2 linked regions of the Drosophila melanogaster genome follow. Changing the gene in region 2 together with the main gene of any one other region gives a genetic interaction. Each region holds a gene or a part of one and is shown on either strand. Other genes may lie near its edges.

Region 1 (4,831 bases), 2.3 Mb from region 2:
AAACTCTGGCAGTGTGCGCTCAATAAATCAATGGAGCGTTCTGATTAGTTTTAACCATACAAAAGCGGTACCAAAAATATATATTTTATTCTATATATCTTTTTTGTGTTAGCTCTGCTCCACGTTGTTGTTGTTTTTGTGTTGAAAGGCGGGGGCGGCGGGGCGCAAATTCTTTCTCTTCTCCTGGTGCGCCATAAACGCAGCCGATTTGTACGGTATTTGCTTCGCTGTGTCTTTTGTGCACTTTTGTCTCGCGATTTCAGCTGCAGTTCTTCGTGCGATTAACTATACTCGCAGTTATTTGTTTTTGCGCGACTTTGACGCGAACGGTTGGGAATTCGGATTAAGAATGCGACTCCAGGTGGCTCTGGATTCTCCAATGTTCGAAAGAACGCCGATTTTACCTAAAAGCTGCGAGCGCTTTTGCGTGGGAGAGCCGCAGTGTTGGAAACCAACGGAATTGCGTCACGGATCCGGTAGCACCGGGCCAGCTGACTTCTGTATAAAATATGGCAGCCTTGGTTATAACGAATATTTGCAGAGAAATAATTTAAAACCAATTGAAAAATATATACAAATGAATCAAATAGTACGCATTAAAAACCGATTAATATTAACAATTCATTATAAACAAGCTTTACTAAAAAATTAACCGCCCATAACAATAAAATAAAATAATAAAAAAATGAATAGATATTATAAATATTACATAAATTGTATAATATAAATATTATAAATTCTGTAAACATAAATTCTTTTATGACTAGACCCAGTTCAAAGAAACAGCCGTACATTTCTAACAGACTAAGTTTATTTTAATAACTACACTTTTAACCACTACAAGTGTTGGTTTTCTTATATTTTGATAAAAATATACAACATATTACATAGCAATACCAATTTTGACACGGCTTTTCATTTCCTGCTCTTGACCTAACAGAATGATACATAATAATGTAGTGCAAATAAGTAACGATAAATAATAGAATTTGGTAGCATGCAGGAAATGTGTTCAGCAAATTGTGTCTCCGTTCAGATCAGCCGTTTGATTCGCGCACACACGGAATGAAATGCAGCAAAGTATGTAGTTGGATTTGCTTTGGAATAAATGTTTAAAAACACCCGGCGACACGACTCCTCCGCTCGTCATTCTAATTCCGTCCTGGTCAAATCCACAAACTCCTTAACTCCCGGAGCCGAAAGCATTAAAATCTTCGGTCCCATTCGACATCTATTCCAAAAAGTACAGACTAGAAGTTCCTCAGTTCTTGACAGAAAACAGTTGCGCAATCTTGGAGGCATGACTCTTGAAGAACTCGTAGCCCACTTTTGCGGCGCTCTTGAGAGCTCCTTGGTTGTTGAGACTGCCGTTTGTTGTGGATACGGTGATGGTCGTTGCAGGAAGTTCTCCAGCTGGCGAAGTCGTCGTCACCGCGTGCTGGTGATGTCCTCCACCAACCAAACTGTCCGGAAACATGCGCCGCAGCACGTAGTTGAATCCATTGGAGGCCTTGTTGCCATTGGCCTTAAACCGTTCGATGCCGAAGGCGCGAATGGCCCGCGAGAATCCGAACACCTGCGAACTAATGTATGCTCTTCGCACCGCCAGAGTACTACCATCCTTCTGCTCGCTGTAGACGACAATTTCATCGACTTTCTAAAAGGAAAAAACAATGATCATTAATTAGGATTAAATTAAACTTGAAAAGATTAAGTAACATATTTCACATATTCACTAAAAGGGTGCAGTAAAATAAATCGAACAATAATCTTAACCGGATCCCGATGTTCTGTATGCGTTTCATGGGTTAAATATAACAAACAATGCCACAGCATTGACCATCGATCTGTTAGGTAACACTTATGCTTTTGTATTATGCCGGTATTTCGGTCATGCCCAACAGCTAGTGGCTGAATTCTTCTAGACATTTCTTTAAATTGATATGTGACCTATTTAAAGCAATCGTAGTAGGTGTGCGATCACTTGCCATTATCTTGGTCATTCCCAGGTTCCTGGTGAAAGTGGTGAATGTCTTTTTAACCGGGTCCAGCACGGAGTCCTCAACAATCTTGACCGGCACATTGTTGTAGAAGCGAGCTCCCCACTTCGGCACCGGATTCGTCTTGGAGAGCAGCCGGCGCGAGAAGAGCTTGCCATCGCGCACCTCCCGCTGAATAGTGTCCTCGGTGAGGACGTGCGTGCTTGAGGGATTCGGGTAGCGGTTCCAGTAGGCGACCACCACGTTCATCCAGCTGTAATCGAAGACCGTCTCCGTGCGGCAGGTGGATGCTGCCACGACCATGTTGAAGGTGGACCAATGAACTCGCCGATGTGTTCGAAAGTGAAAGCCGCCGTGTCCCTGATCTGAAAAATAAACCGATAATCATCAATAGCAATCGCATGTTTCCGGCTAAAAATAGATCGCCGAATCGATGGACGTACCTTTGCGAGGGGGTCCAAGAACGGGGGTCTCTTACGGTTTTAGAGCTCCAGAGTGCAGTGTGATTGGCACCAATTAGCTGGCACACGTTGATTCAGCTAGCAGCTTGTTGTTGCCCCGACTTTGGGCGCCTACTAAGAATTTAGTTGTGTAACTGCGTCACAAACTCCGGCACAGGGTGCTTCGGGTTCGTTACCTTCAATTTCTGGCAATTTGCTGGCGATATCCCTCGATTCCTGCGTTGCCTCGACCTTCAGTGCCCCCTTCTCCTGTCTGTACACGGTTTCATTGCTTGCTTTCCAAGGGTTTGCTGCCAATTTGGATACAATTTACGCCTGTTCAAAGGCCATCCGGAAACATCTGGTCGCAAAGTTGCCAGATGGTGCGTGTGCCAATAATACCACAATTTGCATTTTCCCAACTATTTAGTATTTTACGTTTGGTTTTGCGCCAAAACGTTTTCTTTTAAATTTCACTTAAAAAATGTTTTTAAGCTTTCAATATTAATTGGCAAATATGACAAATGTTCTTGAAATAACTTAAATCAAAGGTTTGCCGGTATTTTACTACTACATTTACTATGTTAAACTAATAAATTATGAATTTATTGGATGTTGGGTCATATCTAGTTTTAATTAAATATTTAATTATTTAAATTTCGAAAAATAAAATCTATTATTTGAGAAATAGTTATTGCAAATATTTTATTGCTTAAAAATTTATAAAATTAACTCACAAATAGTTGTCATGGGAATTTTTGAATTGTGCGGTGCTTAGATACCAGAAAACAATCAAAAGTTCACATAATTAAGTACAATTAGAATAAAGAAGCTCAAAAAAATGGATGTTGTGGAATTCCTCACACGAACCGATAGGCGCAATCTAAAATCTCAAATAAGTTTCCAGGTGGCGCAAAAGATGCACGAATGGCACGCGGATTTGGACAACCGTCGTTGGAACCTCTGTCTTCTTCTCCAAAAGGAAGCCTTGGAGGCGGATGAGCAGATTGCAGAGATGCTGCAGGCGCAGGCGGATGAAGCGGATCGAAAGCGACACGAATGGATCGAAATGGAGCGATTGAAGCGGGAGGAGGCCGAAATGGAGCTGGTCAAAGTAAAGAAGCAGCAAAGGGAGATGTAGGTTTTGAGTGTAGAATTTTAAGTCCTTTTCCATCTGAAATCACCTCACTTTCAGTGAGAACTCCGAGGCCCATCGTCACATGCTAACCAAGGAGATCCTGCTGGAGTCCAAGCAAGCCCAACTCCATCAAATCGAGGAGAAAAAGGCGCTCAAACGCCGCCAGGCCTGTGTGGAGATTCTTTGGCAGCGCGTCTGGCAGAGATTGGACGAAAGTAAGGCCCAGCAGGAGCAGCATGAGCTGAAACTGCGCAACTTGATTGAGAACAGGTGCCAAGCCCACAATCTAGACACTGATCGGGAGCAGAAGGCCCAGTTCGCCAAGGAGGTGTTGGCAGACCAACGGGAATGTTCCCAGGCGTGAGTACCAGGTTCCCTAGAGATTCAGTTAGTTAATATACTAATCGAATGGATTATGTTGGTAATCCAATCAACTACCTTTCATAGCCTGGAACTGGCTGCCGAAATGGATGTGCTCAAGAAACAAGAAGATCTGAAGAAGCTCAAGGATAAACGGCGCCAGCAGCTCATTGACTTGCAGGATCAGATCAAATGGAATCTTACCATCAGCGCTCGGCAAGCACAGGCCAATATCCGTGAGGATGTGGGCTACAACATCCTCGAAGACCGCCAGATTTACGAGGAGCTCATGGAGAAGCGTTGCGCCAGGGTGAGTTTGCATGCCCGCCTCCAACTGCCTTTCCTCTTAGTCACAATGCCAACAACCCAACCCCTTCTCATTGCTCCAGATTCACAATCGCGATTGGCACCAGCAGTACATGACGCACACGGCTGCCGAGCGAGCTGCTCGCAGGGAAGAGGATCTGGCACGGGATCGGAAATACCTGGGCACTGGGTGTGTGCTTGGCCAGCAGCCGAAGCAACCGTACGGCAAGGAAGTGCGCTAGTACCAGTGGTGGACACATCGTCATCGCCATTGCCATCGATCGATGGGCACGCACTCATGTCACGCCTCACATTTGAATACCATATTGCAATTATATTTACGGCTGATATAAATCAAGCGATGGCGGCGATAAGGAAAAGCGTATCATGCACGGGCGGCATAAAACCAGTGATAATGCCCACCATCAACGTCACCAGGGAAGCTGACCAGGCTAACCCCAACTACCAACTTTGCCAGCCGCCGTCGGGCTAATATGCAAATGCGAAATGCCAGTACAGTCAAGATATTGTAATGCGAACCAACCTCTCCGAAATAAAAAATATATAAGCACCATATTAATCAATCT
Region 2 (5,111 bases):
GATGTATGTTCTATAGTAAGAAAGAAATTCTTTATATTAAAAAATCCAATAATTAAAAATGAAAAGAACTTCGAAAACCATAAATTTGAAAACATGTCATAATCGTATGTCATATTTCAAATGCAAGATTATATATAATACTTCTTAAACCACGAAACATAAAATGCTTAGAAAATGTATATATGTACATATATGATCTCTTTCTTGGTTAAGCAGTTAATAACTTTTATTATTTTTAATTTCATTTTTAATATGCCTGAACTTTAATTTGTATACCTGTATTTTCATAAAAATACAGCAATTTAAAGGAAATAAAATAGCCTTTTAACTTCTAGACAGCCTACCCATTTGATAACTTCTCCCTCGGCGATTCAACTTAACTATTTGCAAATTAATTGGATTACACAAGCTGTTATTTATTTATGCACAATTAGTGCAGTAAAACTGCTCTCTCAACACCCAATTATTAATGCTTTCCGATTGGCCGGATCACAAAAAATATAACTAAATCAACAACTCGGAATCGGCGAGTTGCGCGCACTCATTAGCAACTTTTATTAGCCAAAAGTGTCAAATGCTTTATCTCGGGCTTGGATTGGCCCAAACCGAGTTGCCTTAAAGCGTCGCCAGGCATTTCATTTCATTTCATTTTATTTGATTTCATTTTTTGTTTTGCCATTTTTTGCCAACCTTATTGGCCGCTCGACTCGTTTTTATGCGTTTTTAGCATTGTGCGCATGTTAACATTTGTGTTATTGATTTTTTACAACATTTGACAGTTACGCAGACTCCGTATTGGAATTTCGCATATCTTTTTGTATCTCTCAGTTTGTTTGCTTGAATCAAATTCGCGGAGCGCATGACAAGCGATTTGGAGCAATTTGACTTTCGACTGCTGATTGGTTAATCAAATGTGGGTTCATTAAATTGCCATTTTTTTTTTTTTTTTTACATTTAATTGCATATTTGATCGCCGGACCGAAGTGACAGCGCATAGTAATACTATATCATAAACGACACATAAAGTGCTTGCAAATAGCCGCAATCTTGCGGTTTTACTGCTTTTTGTTGTATTATTATTATTTCATTATTTTTTGTTGTATTATTTGTGGCCATTCGGCTTGAAATGAAAATGGGAAATTAGCAGACGGTAAAACGCCTCTGTTTGACATCGTTTGCAATTGGAAATTTACACCATCCTCAGACGTTACAGGTGGCAAACATTGTTCAGTTCATTAATTGTTGATTTTGCACTTTTTCAACCATTCAGCCGCCAATGTGCGTCATTCAAATCGAACGTGCACGGCGTTAAAGCCAAGTTAATATGGTCTAAAGGGAGGGGCAAGGGGGCGCAAGTGCTTTTCGCCAGTTAATTGCATTTACTTCTCGAGGCTTTGTGGCATCGGGGGCATGAAGTGATCTTGTTCGAAATCCCTAAAACATTTGCACTCATACTTGGAAAATGGGTGTTGCAATTGAGCATTTATTGGCATTTTTAAACATTAAATAAACACACTTTTGTGATGGAATTTGGTTTTTAAATATACCAGATAGTTACTTTTGAAATGAATTATGACATTCAAATCTTGAATATATGTACAACCTGTTAAAATATGCTTTCTGAAATTTATATGTACATGTTCGAAACTTTGCTATAGTTTCACATGCAAAATTTTAAACACTTTTGTATATACTCGAAACTGCTCTAAATGAAAATTTACTGGTAAGCTGTGGAAATTTATCGATCTAGCTTATAAGGAAAACAAAACTGCCTTTAAGAGTTTGATTTTATTTTTTAGCGACTAGAGTTCCACTTTATACGATTATAGATACACCCACAAAGTGTCACATTTACCATCGATATCTCTGAGATACAACACCCCCATATGTACATACACATGTACATATATCTATAATTTTCGCTTAAAAATCATAAACAATTTAACCGAATAGACCCGGTAAATCAAAGTGTCCAATGCCTTTGTCAATAAACATTTGTCGTTCCACTAATTGCCAGCGACCAACTTACAAACAAACAAACAAACAGAAAAGCATGAAAAAACAAGAAAGAAATAGCAGAAAAAAAACCAAAAATCATTTATGGCAAAGTCAATTGCGCTAGTGCTATCTCTTTCGCGCGATGTGGGTGGAAGCATTACGTTGATTATCCAGCAAAGCCAACAACAAAAGCAACAACAACACACTCACACACGCACACAGAAAACAACGAAATTTAATTAAATTAAACTTGCTGTTGGCCTGTTTCTCCTTCAGCTGCTACTTCTTTATTCCGGTTAAAAAAAAGGGCGTTCAACTCAAGGGTTTTATTTTGCAATTATTGATATTTATCCGTATCGCTTTTGACACTCATTTGTGTTTAAGTCTACGAAATGACCTTTATCTGTTTAAATTTTCATTATTTGTTACTTCCACATTTGTTTGCGGTTGTATTAAATTGCACATTTTCATTAGCCACAGGTGATATTTGCTCTTAATTGGCATTTAACACGTCGTCATTTTGTAAGGCTTATGTAGATTTTACATTTGCTATTTGAAAATTTATTGCTTACTGTGAAAAACAACTAATTTCTCCACATTTATTTACTAAAATACCACTCCCTTAATCGGCTTATCGCACATTTGGCATCGGATCGCATTGATACGGGATGTTTATCTTTGATTGTCGGATGCGCCATTTGTGCTGATAGTGATAATGGGTCATTTGCCATTATCTTTTTCAATTTCAGTTTACGATGGGCGAATAATAAGGCTGAACTGTTAGATTCCGGCTGAGCGGCATGGAAATTACTTAATTACTTATGCGGGGCGCGTTCTGGTTGGCAACGGAATCGGAATCAGGTTGCTGTATATTCACGGTCAGCTTTTGTCGTTCGAAGGTTTTCATTTTAAAGTAATCACCGGAAACCGCAAATAATTTATATTGTCAAATTTGTGTTAGTGCATTGGAAACCAACCGTTTATTTCCCAACGCAAGCTGAAACTTGAGAAGCGCGGCCGAAAAACGCTGCCGCAAACGTTCCGCACTCGTCGAAGGCTGAAAATGAATTGAACCGAAGTTGAAGTAAGCGAAAACCAAATCACAAAACAAATTAACCGCCTTATCGATATTTAATTATCGGTCGTCGATAGGTGTGTCCGTGCATATAAGGTGAATGTATCCCCTAAATGGCTGTGGCAACACTGAAAATAGTTTTCCCTTGTTTTGGTGTGGCCACACTGACTTTTGGCTTGCTATTGTTTACATTCAATTATTTCGACTTCTTATTTGTTGGTAAGTCAAACCGGCGGTTCCTTATCATTTGCCCGAAACTAAGCAAGAAGTAGGAGTGAGGTTAACAACTTAACGAACACTGTGATAACCTTTCCTTCGTATACAACTGAGAATGGCATTTCTTTGTTCTCGGAGGAAGAAGTAACTTTTTGGCAAGTTGAGCAAAACATTAAAATTCGTATCAGCCACTTGCTACGAAAGTAAATTACATTTTTACCAGGGATAAGTGAGAGGCTTTATAGTCTATCCCCCTATTCCGCAGCTACCAATATTCATAAAACAAAAAACAATCAAGAAGAATGCGCTTAGTCGAATGGCTCAACTATCAGATACCCGTTACTCTGTTCCCTAATACTAATATACCGTTTGTTCGTAGAATTATCGCCACCAGTTGGAAGGAAGCAACACCTGTTGATCATTTTTGAACTTTTCTACTTGTAGCTCTCCTACGCCTATTAAGCATATTTTTCGAGTAATATTCCTAATATTTGTATAATTACCTTATTTAAAATCCTAAACCTGAGTTACGTACTGATGTCCGGACCTGGTTAGACCACTTTGCCATTTGCTAATAATCAATAACTAAGATAGGTCCGGTTTAGAGTTTCTAATACCCTATAAATTAACAGTTAGAAAAATATTTAAAAACGGGGTCGAATAAAACTTAAAATTGTTTACCAAATAAAAATAAAAACATAAAACATTAAAGGGAAATTAAAAATAAAAGAACCTTAAAAAATTAATATATTGTATTGTAAAATTAAAAAACATTTTTAAACCGCTATTTGTAATACTAATTAAAATCTCCCATACAGGAGGATATACACAAGAAACAAAAAAAAAATATTAAAAAACCGAATCTCATTAGCCCAGTGGATTGGTCAGTTTCCCAGACTTTTTTGACATGGCTGATGATCCAGAAAACTCAGTGGATAGGCCCACAGACGACGGAGATGCCGGCAAACCGGAAAAAATGTTTACGCTGAAGAAATGGAACGCAGTTGCAATGTGGAGTTGGGATGTGGAATGCGATATCTGTGCCATTTGCCGTGTTCAAGTTATGGGTGAGCAATACCACTGATTTCAAAACTCTAATCTTGAGTATTAATAATAATAAAAGGTCCTACATATGTAACAATATGTAACTAGAATATTATTATACTGGTGTCTTTGTTAACACTATCTTGTGCATATCGCAAGCGAAAATGTTTTTTACTCACATATACATAAGTGCCTAAAAACTTTCAATTGGTGTATTTTTCAACGGTAATTTTGATTTATTGCGCTTGCCTAAAAATTCACAATTTAAGCACGAAGACACCACCCTACTATTTGGTTTGAACGCATCTCAGATCCTTAGCAACACGCCATTTACATGTTGAAAGGAAATGGCTTGATGTTGACCACCGAGGACATGGGCACACGGCCCATCATCTTTCGCTCAATTTCCTCCAACGACTTGCCCCGCGTTTCGGGCACAAAAATAATCACAAAGAACAGACCCACGATGCAGATGGCGCCGAATAGCCAGAAGGCTCCATGCGCGCCCATAGCAACTACACACAAAAATATTAAATATTATTACACCACTTATTTTAGTTAGTTGCACTACGCACCCGTGAGGTCCTGGAAGGTCTTGGTTACCACAAACGTGCAGAACCAGTTGAAAGCCGTGACCACCGATGCAGCCGGTCCTCGAATCTTGGCTGGCAGAATCTCACCCATCATCAGCCAGGGAATGGGTCCGAAGCCCAGGGAGAATCCCAGAATGTAGATAACGAAGCAAGTGAGTGGCAACCAACCCAAATGGGACACATCC

Evidence for each region.
Region 1: of Buffy (region 2) and prel, changing one suppresses a phenotype caused by changing the other (phenotypic suppression), as found in Drosophila melanogaster (one study listed by BioGRID).

The regions. Positions count from the first base shown.
Region 1 is NT_033778.4:9,422,073-9,426,903, reverse strand, and holds prel (preli-like), read right to left. Parts: upstream 2,818-4,831; 5' UTR 2,638-2,817; intron 2,576-2,637; exon of another isoform or gene 2,573-2,575; 5' UTR 2,444-2,572; intron 2,366-2,443; 5' UTR 2,304-2,365; coding exon 1,989-2,303; intron 1,658-1,988; coding exon 1,262-1,657; 3' UTR 797-1,261; downstream 1-796. Other genes in the region: CG13955 (uncharacterized protein), read left to right, coding at 3,282-3,577, 3,636-3,938, 4,026-4,248, 4,328-4,486.
Region 2 is NT_033778.4:11,677,451-11,682,561, reverse strand, and holds the start of Buffy (buffy), read right to left. Parts: upstream 3,071-5,111; 5' UTR 2,976-3,070; intron 1-2,975. Other genes in the region: Tret1-2 (trehalose transporter 1-2), read right to left, coding at 4,664-4,848, 4,909-5,111; Roc2 (regulator of cullins 2), read left to right, coding at 4,197-4,356.